3 linked regions of the Notamacropus eugenii genome follow. The protein of the gene in region 3 purifies or fractionates together with the protein of the main gene of each other region. This does not show direct contact. Links are inferred from orthologs where the notes say so. Each region holds a gene or a part of one and is shown on either strand. Other genes may lie near its edges.

Region 1 (5,352 bases), on a different chromosome or scaffold from region 3:
GATACAAAATATAGTATCTTTTTTTTTCTTTTTTCAAACCCCAAAGAATAAACAATTTACAGTGTGACATTTAACTCGTAGGTATATGCCTGCAGCTTCTCCTATATTCTGGCTTCCTATTACTAGGTCACCCTAAACCCAGGAGTTCTAAGAAAGACATATTTCGATTTTTTTAGCCCCCATTCTGAATATTCTTTTGAGTTGGCAAAGCAATACTGGAAGTGTAAGATAGTTCTCAACCTATCCCATCAATTGAACTGATGTTCTACTCAAACCTCAGTAGAGATGCTAGGTGAAGTACTCAGAAACTTCATTTATTTATATTTATTTGCTTGTATTCATTCATTCATTCATTCATTTATTTATTTTACTTAGGAACTTTAGGTGTGGGTGTTGGCTTCTCCTTTCAGTACCAGTCATAGATGCTTTTCCTTTTGATGTTTAATTGTGTCTTTGCTGAGTAGTGTATCACATACCCTTGACTCTCCTTGACTGACTTTCTGCATCAAGATTAGGACTGACAAGATATAGAACTGAGGTGGTCAATAAAGTGTAGATTCCTAACTTCCCTGTTACATTTATCTTGGATAGGCATTGGAGCTGGACAATTTTTGGACCAATTTTATTGGAGATAGAGAGTAGACTGGATTGCCTTTCAGAAATTATGTGGTAAAAGCTTCTTAAAAATCAATATTCTTTCAGTGATACTATATGTACAGCCCTCCCTCACTCAAAACAGTCAAGTGCAAGTCATGTCATCATTTCTCTGATAGAATAGTCTTCTTTGGCAATGAAGGATGAACACAAGACTATATGGCAGTGACCATAGAACACCTCTACCTATGAAGAATCAAAATTTTGAACAACTCAGAGAGACCCATGTTGAGGGTAAGTCAAGTTACATCCTGCATTTTGTCAACCTTGATTTGATAAATGGTATGAACTTCCTTGAGAACATGTATGACTGTAATGGATGGGAAGACCATTCTTGTGGTCAAGGAGAGGGAGTGAGTGAATAGAGTGCTGCACTGATATTCAAGAAATATTAAAAAACCTAGAAGAAGATCTCTAGTACATTGAGTAGATCCCTGATGAAGAATTTCTTCCTTCCCTTTTCCGGAGACTATTTTGAGCAGATGTACTTGGCAGAGCAAGGCTGGTCTCATGATATACCTTTTTAGCCTGAATAATTTTACTCTAGGTATGGGGAAAGGGTATCAAATAGGCATGATGGATAGTATTACAGCGATTCACTGGAGGGCTCAAGAACATTACTGCCTAGAACTCAGTTTCAAGTCACTTAAATGCCTAATCACATAGGGTAGTGATGGTGGTGATAATTTTTTTTAATTGAGGGAACTAAGGAGCTACCCCCTTCACAGGCGAACAAGCATTGGCCGGTTTTCTTCCAGAGATTAAGTCATGGAAAGGAAAGACTTTGAAGCAAGGGGCTTGAAGAGGCAGGAATGGTATTCACTGAAGGAATTCCAAGGTGTCTTAGGTCGTTTAGACAAAAGATTGATGGCATCCCTCAAACAGCTGTCTCCGCAGCTCCTTCTTGAACCGGGTTCACAGGATGCGGCCTGAGCAGACTTACAACCGCCCCTCCTGCCCTGACGGAGATACTCAATGGCGTTCAGGTAAACAAGAGAGACCAGCCTCTCCACCAGGCAAGTTTCCAGCAATCCCAGTGTGTGCCAGAGCTGACCTGGGGGAAACCACACTGGGAGGGAGGGGAAAGGCGAAGAGAGTAGGCTTCATTCTCCTGCCTCCCAGCCTAAAGTTATTTGATCGCACAGAAAGTGAGTGGGCTGCGGGGGCGAGCTGCAGGTGACCCTCACCCACCTGTAGGAAATGTGAAGGAGGAACGAGGGAGAGGAACGAGAAGCAGGGGAGGAGGGGCTCTTTGGAGAGGGGGGTAGTTTGGGTCCCAGTCCCGACGAACGCTACCCTCACCTGCCGCCAGGAGTCCCCTAGCAGGGAGGGAATCTCGGGGGGAGGAGAGAGGGGGCTGGGGCTGCGGCTGGGGCTGGGGCTTGGGGGCGGGGCGGGGGCAGAACACCTGGTGGGAGGGCGAGGAGCTCCTCTCCCAGCTTCCAGGCGGCTCGAGGAGGGTGCCGGCGAGCGTGCCCAAGGCTGGAGTCCCAGGTAGAAGGGGCTGGCTCGGGAGCCCAGCGAGGGGAGGGGGCCGGGCGAGCCGATCCCAGCTCCGAGTCTTGGAGGGGCTCCTGGCTGGGCTGCCTCCGCGGGGCGGCTGCGTTTCCGCGGCCAGGGCACCCAAGAGGGGGAAGTTTCTTGGCTGGGAAGGATGCGATTGTGTTGAGCTATTCCTGGTATGTCGGGCACTGGCCCTGCAGCCGGGAGCTCCGAGGACTCGGTTTCCAGGGGATCCGGGAAGGGAATGAGCTCCGTTCGGGGAGGGATAGGGGCCAGAGACCCCGGGAGGGAGGGGACGGGACGGGACGGGACTGGGAGGGCTCTTTCTCCGGGAGGCTCAGGCTCCCCGGGGTGGCGGGCTGCCCTCCCCCTGGGGCTTGCCCTCCGACGTGGATTTGGCATCCCACGGCTCAGACAACCTAAACCACAAGGGCTGGCACGGCCCATGCCCAGGGCACAGCCGGAGGAGTAGGCGGCGGGCGGGCCGAAGCGGCTGCTCCACATGGCCCCGGGCTTCAAAGCAGCTGCGTCGGGGCAGCCAGGGCCGGGAAGGCTGCGGTGGTTCCGGGGGAGCGCAGAGGAGGGGAGCTGCTTTTGAAGTTCAAACAGTTCTTGGGGCTGTCTCTCTCCTCCCCCTTCTCCCCTTCCCCCTCCCATCTTCCTTCTCCTCTCGGACTGCCCTGGTCCCTGCGGACCCTGGTTCGTTTTCAGGGCTTTGTAGAAAGCAGTTTCTTCAAATTCTTGTGGTTTCGGGGCATTAACAAACTCCAGAGAGCAACAAAGGGGAAAGGGGACTGGGACCATTCCAGGCAGAGTGGAGTGACAAGCCGCGCTGCCTCTTGGTCCCCAGTCCCAGAGCAGCCTCGTTAAGTTGTGCTGACCCCCCTCCCCAATCCCGCCCCTCCTCGCCCACCCACCCATTTCTTTCTCTTTCTTTTTTTCCCTCCCCTCTTCCTCTAGTCATGGAAGGGAGAGAGGATGCGGAGTCCAACTGTGCTGTAGCATTCGCTGAAGCTCAGAGATGGGTGGAGGTGAGTGCATTCCCCCCCCCCTTTTTTTTTTACTTTCCCCCCTTCACGATCTGGTGGCTTTACAGGGGGTTCAAGGGTGACGTTTAAAACCCAAACTGCGTTATTCTTAACGACCCTTCCCTCCCTTCATCTTTGCTACATGGTGGGAGACAATCGATTCAGAAGTGGGTAGTTAGCGGGTAAACTTTTAACAGTTCGAGTCTCTGTCTGTTTTTTAGCTCCCTCTTCCCCTGCAAGTCTCTCTTTCTATTCTTTAAATTATTCTTAAGGTGCAGAGTGAAATAGGTGGTAGTTTGTCCATCACCGTATCAGGTGTCCAGATCCATGCGGACTGTACCAGGATCAGTTGTCTCCCTTGATCCTATCTGGGTCACAATCCAGAGGATGTAATGGTCTGGTGGAATCTCTGCACTAAACCAAAAGGGAGGAAAGAGAAAAATATATTCCTTTTGTTCATATATGACTAAGATGCTGTAAACATCAACCGAACCAGGTTTGTCTCTGTATGTGTGTCTGTGTGGAAGGGAGTGGGGCATGGGACTGAAGCGGCGAAGGGACTTGAAGGGACAGAGAATGGATGAGTAAATACTAAGGCAGTAAACTTGCCTATGAGATTTAGGAGAGGATCTCTAGGGGAGTTTTAATTCTCACTGATGAAGGCTGCTACCGTATTCCTGGGCTTCTAGTACAGCATAGGAGTTCTCTGCTTTCACTGTGCCTTAGAAACACCATCTTCTTGTAGTTTTCTATTCCCTAATTTCCTTTTTTAAAGAAATGTGAGCTCCTTGAGATTTTTCTCTCTGTGCCTTTACATCTACGCTTTGGGTTGAGTTTGTCCCTAAATAGGTTTTCAGGATGATTCCTGGAAGCTTATGGAGAAAGAACACTGGTGGGGAAAAAGTTTTCTCAGTAAGTGTGCTAGACTAGCATACACACACACATAATGTATATTATATACATATATTCACAAAAATGGCTTATTGGAACATTGTCTTGCACATTGGTACTCTTAGCATTTGGAACCAATGTTTATACTTTCTTAGTTTATTGAAAGATGGTTTTTTTTGGAATGAATTTTTGAAGACTATACCACACAAAATGCAATTTTTTAAAGAATGTAAGTTTTAGCAGGTAAAAAAACAAGTAATAGATTAATTTCTTTTTCCTCACAGGTTTATTTACTAAGCATCTCTTTGGACAGACATTTTGATCCCTTAGCTTGAAGATGAATTTTTTTCCATATTTTTAAAAAAAGCATGTAGAAGGCTTGAGTAGGCTAAGAAAATAATATAGAGACTCTTTAATTGAAATGAGAATAAAGGACCTCCCTCCCCCATTTGCTTAAAAGAAAATAACTTTTCTCTGTTTGGCTATATTTTTAAGTATGTACTGCAAAAGTAAATTTGCATGTATCATTTTTTTTGAGACATTGTCCTGGACATCTTAGAAGAGGAAGTGTGTGTGTGTGTGTGTGTGTGTGTGTGTGTGTGTGTGTGTGTGTAGGAGATCAGAAAGAATGGGGTATTTTTGCTGTTGTTTATATTGGACATTTTACAGTTTCTAAAAGAGTATTCATGGTATTTGTATGTGGGACTTCATGCTTCTCTTTTCTTTAGAATAATTATAAATATGTTTGACTTCCACAAGTGTGTGTGTGTGTGTGTGTGTGTGTGTGTGTGTGTGTTCTGGTTTCTTTGAACTAAAAGTTCAGTAAGTATTGCAACTTTCCCATGAACTTAATGAAACCTATATTTTAGGATCTTCCATGAAATAATCCCAATGAAGGAATGTGTATTTGTGTTGTATAATTATGTTAAGTATATAAACTTTTCCTCTCCTCTTTCCTCCAAGTTAAAGATCTTCAATGATTTTGAAATTTCCAATAAAAATATTTTTAAGTGTAAGATTATGATTTTGGAGGAAAATTACTGTGCTAGAAACTAGATAACTAATTTTTTCAAAGGATGTATCAATTTAATATAACTAGCCAATATAATTAAAAATAAATGATTCTTTTAAAATACCAGCAGCTATACAAAGGGAGAAGTGTTGTTTGTGTGAATATTTTTACTTCTAGAAAATGATAGAAAATATTTACTGTTCAGATTTTCCAATCTTAAATTTGTAACCTTATCTTTGTGGTTATCATGTTAAGGAAAATTTA
Region 2 (5,352 bases), on a different chromosome or scaffold from region 3:
AAATTCATGTTATATTAGGGTTTTTTTTTTTGTAAAATGGTAACATATGATTTACCCCATTTATATGTTATAGCAAAACTCTACTATAATTTTACAATTACTAAGACCATTTTCAAATCTAACTTATAAAAAGTAAAATAAAAAGACTGGGTCAAACATAAATATATGCCAGGTTGTGTTAATTCTAACCACTACCAGTTCACTTTTTCTGCCTCAGCTGAAAAAAATTCTACATAGTATTAGCACTTAATGAAGCTTATTCCAAACAATTGTTTAAAAAAATCCCATCTCAGCAGAAAAAAAGAAAACATCTTTCTAAAGAGCTCAAACAATATCATAAATACACTTTACAAAAATGTAACATGAAACTTACTTCCCAATTTGAGGTTTTTGAAAAATCTCAAAATAACTATGCTTTCTATATGTTCCATCTGGGCTCCAGGTATTATGCACAAACAAAGGGAAATCTCACTGAGATCATTCAAATCTCAAGTTCATATACATTTTACCACCTGGTATATATTAATCTCTTCTTGGTATTAGATTTCATGCAGTAAAATAATTGCTTGCAGATTTTATACTAAAATTCCTTTAGATATCAAAATGTGCAACTTCCAAGTTCAAAATTACTTTGCCTCACAAAAGATAATATTCCTTCACACTAAAATCTGAGAGTTTTATCAAAAAGACTGATTAATCTGAAATCTTTCATTTCCAGCATGATTCTTAAAGTCTATCACGTAATCATAAATTCTGAAAGCCAAAAACTTTAGTACCACTGCAGAGGAAAACTGGAAACAAAGTGCCACAAACTAGAAAAACTAAAGAGCATAATTGACTTAAATATTTTACAAGAAAATCCATTAATTCAGTAACAATTTTAAAGAATTTGGAGACAAAATACCTACAGCCAGAATCTCCAATACAGATTGAAAATCTGAATTATACCAACACTAAACTTTGACAAATTCATGTTTTCATTTGTACTATTTTATTCATTTTGCATTTTTTCCAAAAGCTTCTCTGATCAATCCCGCAGTGTCTTAACCCTGAAAAATTCAAGAAATACAGTGTTCCAAAAAAAAGGGGTAGAGAAGAGGAGAAACAAATATTTCCTGCACACAGAAACTTTTTTGGAACATTCCAGTGGTCAATCAGTGCAAGATCTTAATCATCCCCTTCCCTGCCCCCACCAAAAAAACAAAAAAGTCCAGTTCATATTACAAGTACGCTGCTTGGCCACAGGCAGCTGGGGGCTCAGTGGATAGAACTGTTCCTTCACAGGGTTGGAGCACACAGTGGGAGTTATGTAAAAGTTTAGTCTCCTCAGAGAAGATAGTCAGCATAAGTCTAGTCAATTTTCCAAAGGTGTGTTTTTATGTGAAATACGAATTTAACATCTGTAAAATATACTGACATCATCCAGATATCATATTTCTCACAGACATTTATAATATTCTGCCCTATACTTTATTGCCCAAACCACAAAGGCTTAAATTTCTACCGAATTTTAAACATGAGGGCCACAGTCAAATCATCTGTCTTTTTTCTGTTCCTTTTCCTCACCACTCTTTTAGGAAGGCTTTAAAAGGACTTGATGGCTATTTAAAAATATTTTCTTCAAAATTCTCAGAAGTCCTATTTTGAAAAACTCTACACTGTTTACTGCCACTGAATGCAAATGTATGATCCTATTTTAAAACAAACAAATAATAGACATATATCTCAAAATAACCATGCTTTCTGAGGGGAAAAAAAGTTTCCCCACAGAAAGTTTTGAGGCAGTGAAATATCAGCTTGCTGAAATCACTGAAAGGAAATGACTAACATTCTTGGAAAATGAAGCCACTGGCAGCTTTCTCCAACATAATCCCTAAAACTCTGCCCTGTGGCAAAAGAGTATTTTGTGTATAAATAAATAAATTTAGATAGATTCTTTCAAAGCTAATAAATAAAATATCTGGGGTTCTCCCAGAAAGGCTATTAGGATTATATCTAATACAGAGGAAATCCCAAGAAGACATGACATTTACTGTGCATTCTGAGATCAGATTCAGAACCAATGGAAGACAGAACCTTAAATTTAAACGCCATGACAAATTTTTGATGGTTTATTATGGTTTCCTCTAGCATTGTGAAACAATAAATTCGCTGGTTCCATTGGACACCAGAAGAAAACAAAGGATTTTGTGATATGTTATTAAATCCAAACACATCCTTGGGGAGGCGAGGGCGGCAAAAACAAAGAAAGTTGAGGAAGTCCAGGGACCAGAGTCTACTGAGACCATATCACACGTGAGTGACTTGAAAAACTGTGGCTCTTCATTTCAGGAGTAAAATATGCTTTTGCAGGGCAGTTTTTCCACCAATTCATAGCTTCCAAACAAAAATCCACTATTAACATATTCCATGGCAGAGACTTAACTCTTACTTCTGCGCAGAACACATGACTTCAATGCACTCTTTCATCCTGCTAGACAATTTCACACAAATGGAAACATTGGCTACCTCACTAGTAAATTACTCTAATTCCTGCCATGTCAATTTCCGAAAGCACCCATCTGTAAGGTGCTACAGGGTCCTCGGCCTCCACACGTGCAGTCCTGCTGACTCGGGCGATCCTGGCTCTCTCCAACACTCAGCATCAGCTCCGTAGGGTGCGGGTTATTACCCCGAGGAAGACCCACGGCTTAGCTACATCCCAACACCCACCTCCAGGTCCCTCAAACTAGGCAGAGCAGCTTTCGGGAGAAGCAGCTCCCTTGCAACAACTTTAAAGAGCTGCCTCCCCGCTGGGAATACCAAGGCAAGTGACAGTTTGGGGTTCCTCCCACATGTGGCAGCCCCTTCCCCCCATCTTCCAGTTCCAGGACTGTGGTCGGTATAAACTAGGCTGTTGGAGCGCCCAGCGGGACATGGTTAATATGTTTTTCGTGAGCCCAGAGAACCCGGGAAGGGAAGGAGGAGGGAAGGAAAAGCGGGGGCGGGAACGCGGAGTTGAAAGGAGGCAGCGACCAAGCAATAAATAGAGCCTCATTTCTTGAAGGTAGCAAGTCACCAGCACCGCCTGCCTCCAGCAACCTCACCCCACTCCTAGGACTTAGGCACAAGGCTAATGCATCCTCCAGTCCCAGGGATTTGCTGGGAGCAGCGAATTTGTAAACGGCAAAACGACCCTAAAAGCCAAAGGGTGGAGGGGAGGGAAAACAAGGGTGGAGGAGAAAAAGAGACGAGATATTTCTTCGTCTGAGGCCCGCCAGCTTTTTCCACTTTGAAGCACCCCCTCCCCCCTCCCCAACCCTCAAAGCCCTGCTCTACCGCGTCTGCCAGGGGAGCCAAACCAGAAACTGTGTGGGGCCCATCGGGGCTCGGACTGAAACACCGCCGGACTTTCCCCCACCCCCATTGCGGGGCACAGGCTTCCACCTCCCCTACCTTAAATAAATTCGAAGACAGGAGGCATCAGAAACTCCTTTCGCTCCTCTCTGCCCAGGGCTTTCCTCCACCTCCTCCCCGTCTCAGTCTCCTCCGCCTTTAGCCTTGGTAGCGATCGCCCCGCTTCCGTCCCGCCCCTAGTCCCTCCTCTTCCACGTCCTCTCCCTCAACTCGTCACTAGGTGGCCGCCGAGCTACATGGGAGCTCCTCGGGGGACCGGCACGTGGACGCCCGCCAGCCCCGCCCCCGGGACCGTACCAAGTGCCTTCTAAGGGGGAAAACCTGAGGCACAGAAGAAAGGAGAAGGACGTCTAAGCTTTAGTCAACGATGGATCCTACATCCTGAGTATAACCACAAGCTTGTAACTCTTCAGAAATATGCGATACTTGTAACATAAGGAATATTCCTCACTTTAACAGAAAAATCCTTGGTATCGCCCCCCTTCTCCTAGATAGAGCCTCCCTCTTTCTCCTTAAATATGAGTTTGGTTTGGGAGATGTATGTGGGGCTGCATGCTTGGCTGCTTGTTTGTCTAATTCCACGAAATTAGAGGTGATAACTCAGAGGAAGTAGCAAAGGAGGACTCTGTGCCTCCCACAGTTATGATACTGCAACAACCATCTTTACAAAGCGGGCCTTTTGAGTATTGTAAAGTATGTGTCTGTAAAAATTGAACGCATCTCCCATTGCTATCTGGAGGACAGAAGTGATATTTTAGGTATTTTAAATGCCTTGTCCCGCTCTACTAGTCATCAAATGGTTCAGGGTAGCTTGAGGAAATTCAAAGACTGGTAATGTTTAGGGGTGAAGTCTCCTTGAGGAGCAGGGACACTGGAAAAGAAGAATTTCTCTGTAATTAATCTCCTATTTTTAAGTTTTCTTTCCATTAGGATGTCAGCTCCTTGAATGCAGGTGCTTGAATCTCTCTCTCTCTCCCTCTCTCCCTCTCTCCCTCCTCTTTAAATCCCAGCGCTCAGTGCAGAGACTGACAGCAATAAGAACTTACTGATTGATAACTACATTAGATCTGATCATGTCTGTAACTGTAAGGAAGTAGTGAAGAAAGTGGACAAATGAAAGACAAGCTAAGAATGGAGGTGAGTGGATATCTAGAATTACTCCATCCTTGCCTTACCCTCAAGTATGATCACTCAACATTAACAACTGTAGCTCCAACCACTTACTTTCCTACTCTCCTAGCTCTTCTTCCTTTCTTGTCATTCTGCATCTGACCTAGTCCAGGTCCTAGTGGACCCATAGACAATGGAAATCAAAACCCCTCAAGATGAGGCCTTCGCAGAGGACATCAATGGGAGTGATGACTCAGGAGGAAAAAGTGAGGTTGGGGACTTTGCACATCTCTCACTCAAAACAAAGTCAAGTGTAAGTCGTGTCATCATTTCTCTGATGACATGGTCTTCAAAAAAACAGAAGGAAGAACACAACAACACACACAATGGGAGTGAATCAAGAGAAGGATGCAAAGATAAATTATGTTGAATAGGAAACAATTAAAACTTTAAAAATTAACTTTAAAAATCATACTGCTTTTCTTTTTTGGAGGGAGTTACACAAAAATCATTAAAACCCACCAATATTAATTGCCATTCAGTCCATTTCAACATACCTTTTAAAAATATTTGCTGAAGGCACTTGCACAGTATTGGGCCTCCCTTTCCCTCCCTCCCCCAAAAATACAAAAAAAATCAACACAAACCATTTAAGTTTACATTCTATTGGGAAATACACAGAGGCAAGATAAGTAAATGAAAGATCATTTGAGGAGGGAGGGAGCTAACAACAAGGAAAAATTCCTTTGGGAGCCAAGTAAGCCTTGAAGAAATCAAAAACCTCCCAGTGGAGAAGTGAGGCAGCCCAAACCAAGCTTGGGACTGCAGACACTACAAGTAGACCAG
Region 3 (5,352 bases):
TTAGATTCTAAAAATGGAGGTGATACTAAAATGCTAAGCCTCAAGTTGTACTCACAGCCTAGGAGAAGTCAAAATACAAATGAGAGGAAAAAAAAGCTGCAAAGTTTCTAAATGTTCTAAGTCTCTAAGGACAGAACTAGGTTAAATCTCCTATTAATTGAAATGGCAACATGAAGAGTATTGGGAGTTTACTATTTCTTGTCTAACCACCCAGAATAGCAGCCTCTCTTTTAAACAGACAAAATGAATCCATTTCTTATTTGTTTCTTTTTTCTAACTAAAAAAAACCTTCTTAATACTTTATTCAAAACTCAGGAAGGTCAGAAGTGGCTTTGATGTCAAAAAGGAGAGCTTCCAGTCAGAGAAAAAAATAATCCCTGGGGGTAATAGTTTTCTGCAACAGATACATAGGTCAAAGCAACTATCTCAAATCCTAGTCTAGTTGATAAAGAATTAAATATACTCAGGCAAAGAAGGAGAAAAGAAAATAACAAGGGCACACCAACTACCCCTCAAGTCCCACAGTGACCTGGCTGCCCAAGGAATAGACCAAGGGCATCAGAAAGGTGTTCACTGTATAAATGTTTCCAAAGTCCAAGGAAAGTGAAAAGGTAAATGAAAACTTAGAAAGTGTTTTTTTAATTCCCTTAGGCAGAAAGTCTTATGCAAACCTTATTTGCTTTATAGGCTATTATTAGGGTTTCAAGAAGTCTTTTTTAAAAATGTCTTGTAGCCCGTTTCTAAGGTCAGAAAACACATGAAACCACCACTCTAAATATATTCCCTTGCAATTTGTCTCCTTAACAAAGAATAGATCCAAAGAAGGATCCAAAGAAGCACCACAACCACCTACCACGGAAACCTTTGAATATTGACATATTCAAACCGTGGTAGGATGTTTGATTTAACCTTCAGGGACAACTGGCAGGAAGTGGAGCTGGTCTAGGGCTTCCTATGCAGTCAAAAAATTGCCCTGTTTCCCAGGGAGGTTTAGGGCTTAGTTCCTCTATTTTATCTCTGACCTGAAGAATAAAAGTAACAACAAAAAATTAAGCAGTTGAATTTCAACGAAGAAATTCCAATAAATTGTCAGGGACACTGCAAGAGTAAGGGGAAAAGTGGGAGGAGAACCAGATCAAGTTCAGATGGGCAGATGGAAGAATCTGGTTCATCCCATTCATAGAGAAGGAAAATGTTATTTGCTTAGCAACCAAGAGCTTGGGGATCCATCCATTTTGTTAAAAGACTTGAACATCCTCAAGTATGATTGTCTCTTCCTCCTCCCCCCCAAAACAGCTATTTCACTGAGCCTGGGACACACAAATGACAAAATCTATAATATTTGTTAACAGTTTCACATACTGATCCACAAAGGTGGAAACCTTCTCATCCCTTTCTTAACTTGGTTACCTCCCATAATCGTACTGGCCTCCTCCTCCTTTCCCACCTTAGATGTGGCAAGTACAGCATTGAAACAACGTGACTGACCAGAAGTACCTTTAGTAACCTTAGTTTTTAAAAAAGGCCTAAACAGCTAACTACCATTTATTTGCAAAATCTTATTTTTCCCATTCCGACCTTGAACTGGATCTTAAAAATTCCAGAACTTAACTAGAATGGGGACATGGAAGCAAGTTTTCCGTCCCTCAAGGTGATCTTATTTAAACTTATCAATTAATAATTTTATATTACTCAGAAAAAAAGAAACAAGTTGAGAATTTATGTGGAATATATAAAGAATGGGGGAAAAAAATCAGCAGCAATCCTGCACTTAATGCCTGGACACACAGTAGGCGCTTAATAAATGTTCATTAAACGACAGTATGCCTCCCTCTGCTTGGACTTTAAATAACAAAATGAGTCCCTCAGAAACAATCCCTTTCCCCTCCCAAAGAAATGCTTTTTAAATCAGGATTTTGAGGGCTTCCAAGTGCCCTAGTCTTCCAAGTTTCTGAGAAGGAGGCTGCAGCCTATGGACGTCTGTCTCACGTCCCCAAACCCCAACCCAGAAGCTGAACGTGTCCTCGTGGCTCAACTTTCTCCCGTGGAGCCGCAGGAAATTCACGGGATTAACGAGGCCCAAGGTGAGGAGAAATCCACCAGGTTCCACCGCCCGCCCCTCCTCCCCACAAAAAGGGGGAGGGGGAGGGGGAAGGGAGCCCGCGGGGAGGGGGAGGGGAGGGGAGGAGGGAGGCGGGGCTCCGGAGGGAGAAGAAAAGGGAGGTGATGGGCTCGGCCACGGGGCCAAAAGATGGTGGGTGAATGAATGCAGGAGGGACGGCATCCGCGGCTCGGTCCGCGGGGGGCTGACCAGGGGCGGCCCGAAGGGACGTGCCGGGGGCGAAACAGCCTCGGGGCCGGGGAGACGAGGCAGAAATTCCCCTTTAAATGTGAAAATGCTCCCCCGCAGAAAAAAATAAAAGGATGGAATCCATTTATTTCCGCCACGACTCGAACCGACGGCGGGCCGCCCGAACCCCAGGGCCGAACCTTGGGCCAGGCCCAGCCCTCCATCCACCAAGATGGACTGGGGCCGCTAGGCCCGAGCCGGCGCCTCCGGGGCCCCCAGGGGGGCTGCGGGCCGGGGCCGCCTTCGCTCGGGGAGGGAAGGCGGGATTAAAGGGCGGCCCCGGTTCTGCGCGCTCCCGGCCCAGCCACGCCGCCCGCGGGGCCCCCGGGGATCGGCCTCCAGGCAGGATGGCCCGCGGCCGGCTCCTTTGTGCGGCCGCCGCCCCGCCTCGGGCCTCGGGGAGCCACCGCCCCCCACCCGCCATCTTCCCGAGCGGCACGCGGCGGGGAGGGAGCCGGGGCTGGCCGGGGGCCGAGCGGCCGGGAGGGAGCGAGGCCGAGGCCGAGGCCGCCGCCGCCTCCCCCTCCCCCGCCCGGGGACTCGCCCTCCCCCGGCCGCCATTTTACAACCAGCTCCCTCCACCGCGGTGGCCCCGGTCTCATGCCCACGCGCAGCCTCGGAGGGGGGGCGGCGGCGGCGACGCGGAACCGCACGAGCCCCCAGAGCCCCTCACCCGCAGGGCCCGGCCGCGCGCCCCGAGCCCGCCTTCCCCGGGCCGGGCTGCGAGACGCCGCCGCGGCCGCCGCCATTTTGTCTCCTGATCCTGGCCGCTGTGGGCGGCGGCGGCCGCGGCGGCGGCGGCGGGGCCGGGGATTCCGGCTCGCCGCTCCTCCCCAGCTCACCGTCGTATCGCTCGGCTTGCTCGGCCAGTTTCGCCTGGTACACCAGATCCTCCCGATCGTCCATAGCGGCGGCGGCTCCGGCAGGGTCTGCGCGACGGATGGCAGCGGATGGCGGCTCCGACTCTCTTGTCAGCCTCTCGCTCGGCGTCCGGGCAGCAAAGATGGCGGCGCCTCGATCCGGGAACTTCCGCCTGCGCACGCGGACAACTGCTCAGCTCTATGGCAACCGCTCCCTGGCAACTGGCGCGGGGGGCGGGGCTGGAGCCCGAGCGGATGGAAGGGGCGGGGCCGGGCTCCCCCAGCCAGCCCGGCGGGAGGGCGCGGGAGGCCGGGAGGGGGTGGGGCAGACGCCGGGGCGAGGGGAGCGGCGGCCGCGGTCGGCTTTGCTTGTGGTGGGGCTGACCGACAGACCGACGGAAAGACGGAGGGATGGACGGACGGCCTTAGACTGGCTGCCCCGAGGCCCCGCCCTCTCCCAGCCCTGGGGGGTCGCGGACCCGCTGGCCCCAACCCGAAATCCCGGCCCAGCCTTATGGAGTGACCTGGCCTGGCCTGGCCTGGGTCTATCAAGGCGGGGGACGGTCTGGAGGAGAATTCGAATTCTACCCCCTGGGGACTGAGGGCCAGGCTGTACCCCCACACGCACTAGAGAGGTGGGGGGCCAGCGGTGCGGAATGAGGTGTCCCCAGGGACCCTGCTGGGCACGTGGTGGTTCCCCGGGAGGGCTCCAGGGATTGGGAACGGCTCTGCCCTGGGGGGGAGGGGAACATGCAATTATGTGCGCCTGTCTGTATACTTAGCTGTATCCACTTTCCTTAGTCGTGACATGGACTCAACCCTAGTGGTAAAGCTGAAGCCGGTCCAGATGCCGCCCGTGCCTCCACGCAGGGCCCTCCCTTCCGTTCTCAGCCAGATTTTGGCCCGGGAACTCTCAAGTTAAAAAAGAGTCCATGTTCTATTAATGACTCTGCCACATATTAGCTGTGGCCTCAGTTTTCTCTTCTGTAAAAGGAGGGTGTTTGACAGTCTGACTGCACAGGTTCCTTGCCTCCTTGATGGATGTCTAGTCTGGAAAAGAGAAGACTTAGAAAATGTTTTAATTAATTTTTTTCAATTATCTGTCATTTTTTTCTCCATCCCACCTCCCTGAGAAAGAAGGAAAGCCAGAACCCTTGTAATTAAGCACAATCCAGCAAAACTGGATTCTCATATTGACCACCTGCGAAAACCTTGTCTCCTGAATATCGAATGTATCACCTCTAACAGGAGATGGGTAACATTCCTCATTAGTGTTCTGGAGTCATGGTTAGTCATTTTGTTGATCAGAATTATCATCTTTCAAAAGTGTTCATTTTTTACAGTAGGGTCATTCTGTAAATTTTCTGGTTCTGCTTCCTTTGCTCTGAATCTGTTCACACAAATCTTCCCAGGTTTTTCTCAAACTACCTTTTCATTTCTTACAGCACAGTATTTTTTTTATTACATTCATGTCATCATCATCATGATAGCATTCATACACTGCTTTAAAGTTTCCACACCTTTTATGTGCCATAACAAATATATATATTCCATAGTTTGTTTGGCCATTCCGCAGTTGATGCTTACTCCCTCAATTTCCAAGTCTTTAACACCACAAAAAGAACTGCTATAAAATATTTTTATATACATAGGACCTTTTCTTCTTTGTTGGATCAAAGAGCATGTGCATTCAGGGGCCGAGTTCCACAGTGCTTTCCAGAATGGCAGTACCATTTCAAAGCTCCATCAACACTTCCTGAGTGTGCCTATTTTCCCCAAAGACCCTCCACCATTTGTCATTTTCCCTTTTTGTCAGTTTGGCCAATCTGACTGTGAAGTAGAGTCTCTGACTTACTTTAAGTTCCATTTCTCTAATTATGAGTGATTTGAAGCAAGTAAATAGCCTGGATTTCTTCTCTTGACAACCACCTGCTTATATCCTTTGAAAATGCACAAGCTCTTTGATCCAACAAAGAGGAAAAGGTTCTATATGTATAAAAATATCAAGTGTGGATGGAGAGATAATATTTCAGTACTGAAAGGCGTAAAAGAGGAAGTGGACTAGTTTGCTTGGTCCCAGAGGGCAGAACCAGGATTTCTAACCATCAGAAGTTTCTGGAGGAAGGATGAGGAAGGGACTTT

The links.
Region 1: the proteins of YWHAE (region 3) and LMO7 purify together in Homo sapiens (affinity purification with mass spectrometry; 3 studies listed by BioGRID and IntAct, with this or other methods). This does not show direct contact. The link is inferred for Notamacropus eugenii from reciprocal best matches to the Homo sapiens genes YWHAE and LMO7.
Region 2: the proteins of YWHAE (region 3) and FRMD6 purify together in Homo sapiens (co-immunoprecipitation; 3 studies listed by BioGRID and IntAct, with this or other methods). This does not show direct contact. The link is inferred for Notamacropus eugenii from reciprocal best matches to the Homo sapiens genes YWHAE and FRMD6.

The regions. Positions count from the first base shown.
Region 1 is NC_092877.1:261,780,931-261,786,282, reverse strand, and holds the start of LMO7 (LIM domain only protein 7), read left to right. Parts: upstream 1-2,067; 5' UTR 2,068-2,148; intron 2,149-2,155; exon of another isoform or gene 2,156-2,333; intron 2,334-3,117; 5' UTR 3,118-3,119; coding exon 3,120-3,188; intron 3,189-5,352.
Region 2 is NC_092872.1:326,792,048-326,797,399, forward strand, and holds the start of FRMD6 (FERM domain-containing protein 6), read right to left. Parts: upstream 3,609-5,352; 5' UTR 3,436-3,608; intron 1-3,435.
Region 3 is NC_092873.1:39,407,139-39,412,490, forward strand, and holds the start of YWHAE (14-3-3 protein epsilon), read right to left. Parts: upstream 3,597-5,352; 5' UTR 3,257-3,596; coding exon 3,193-3,256; intron 1-3,192. UniProt on the Homo sapiens protein: Adapter protein implicated in the regulation of a large spectrum of both general and specialized signaling pathways. Binds to a large number of partners, usually by recognition of a phosphoserine or phosphothreonine motif.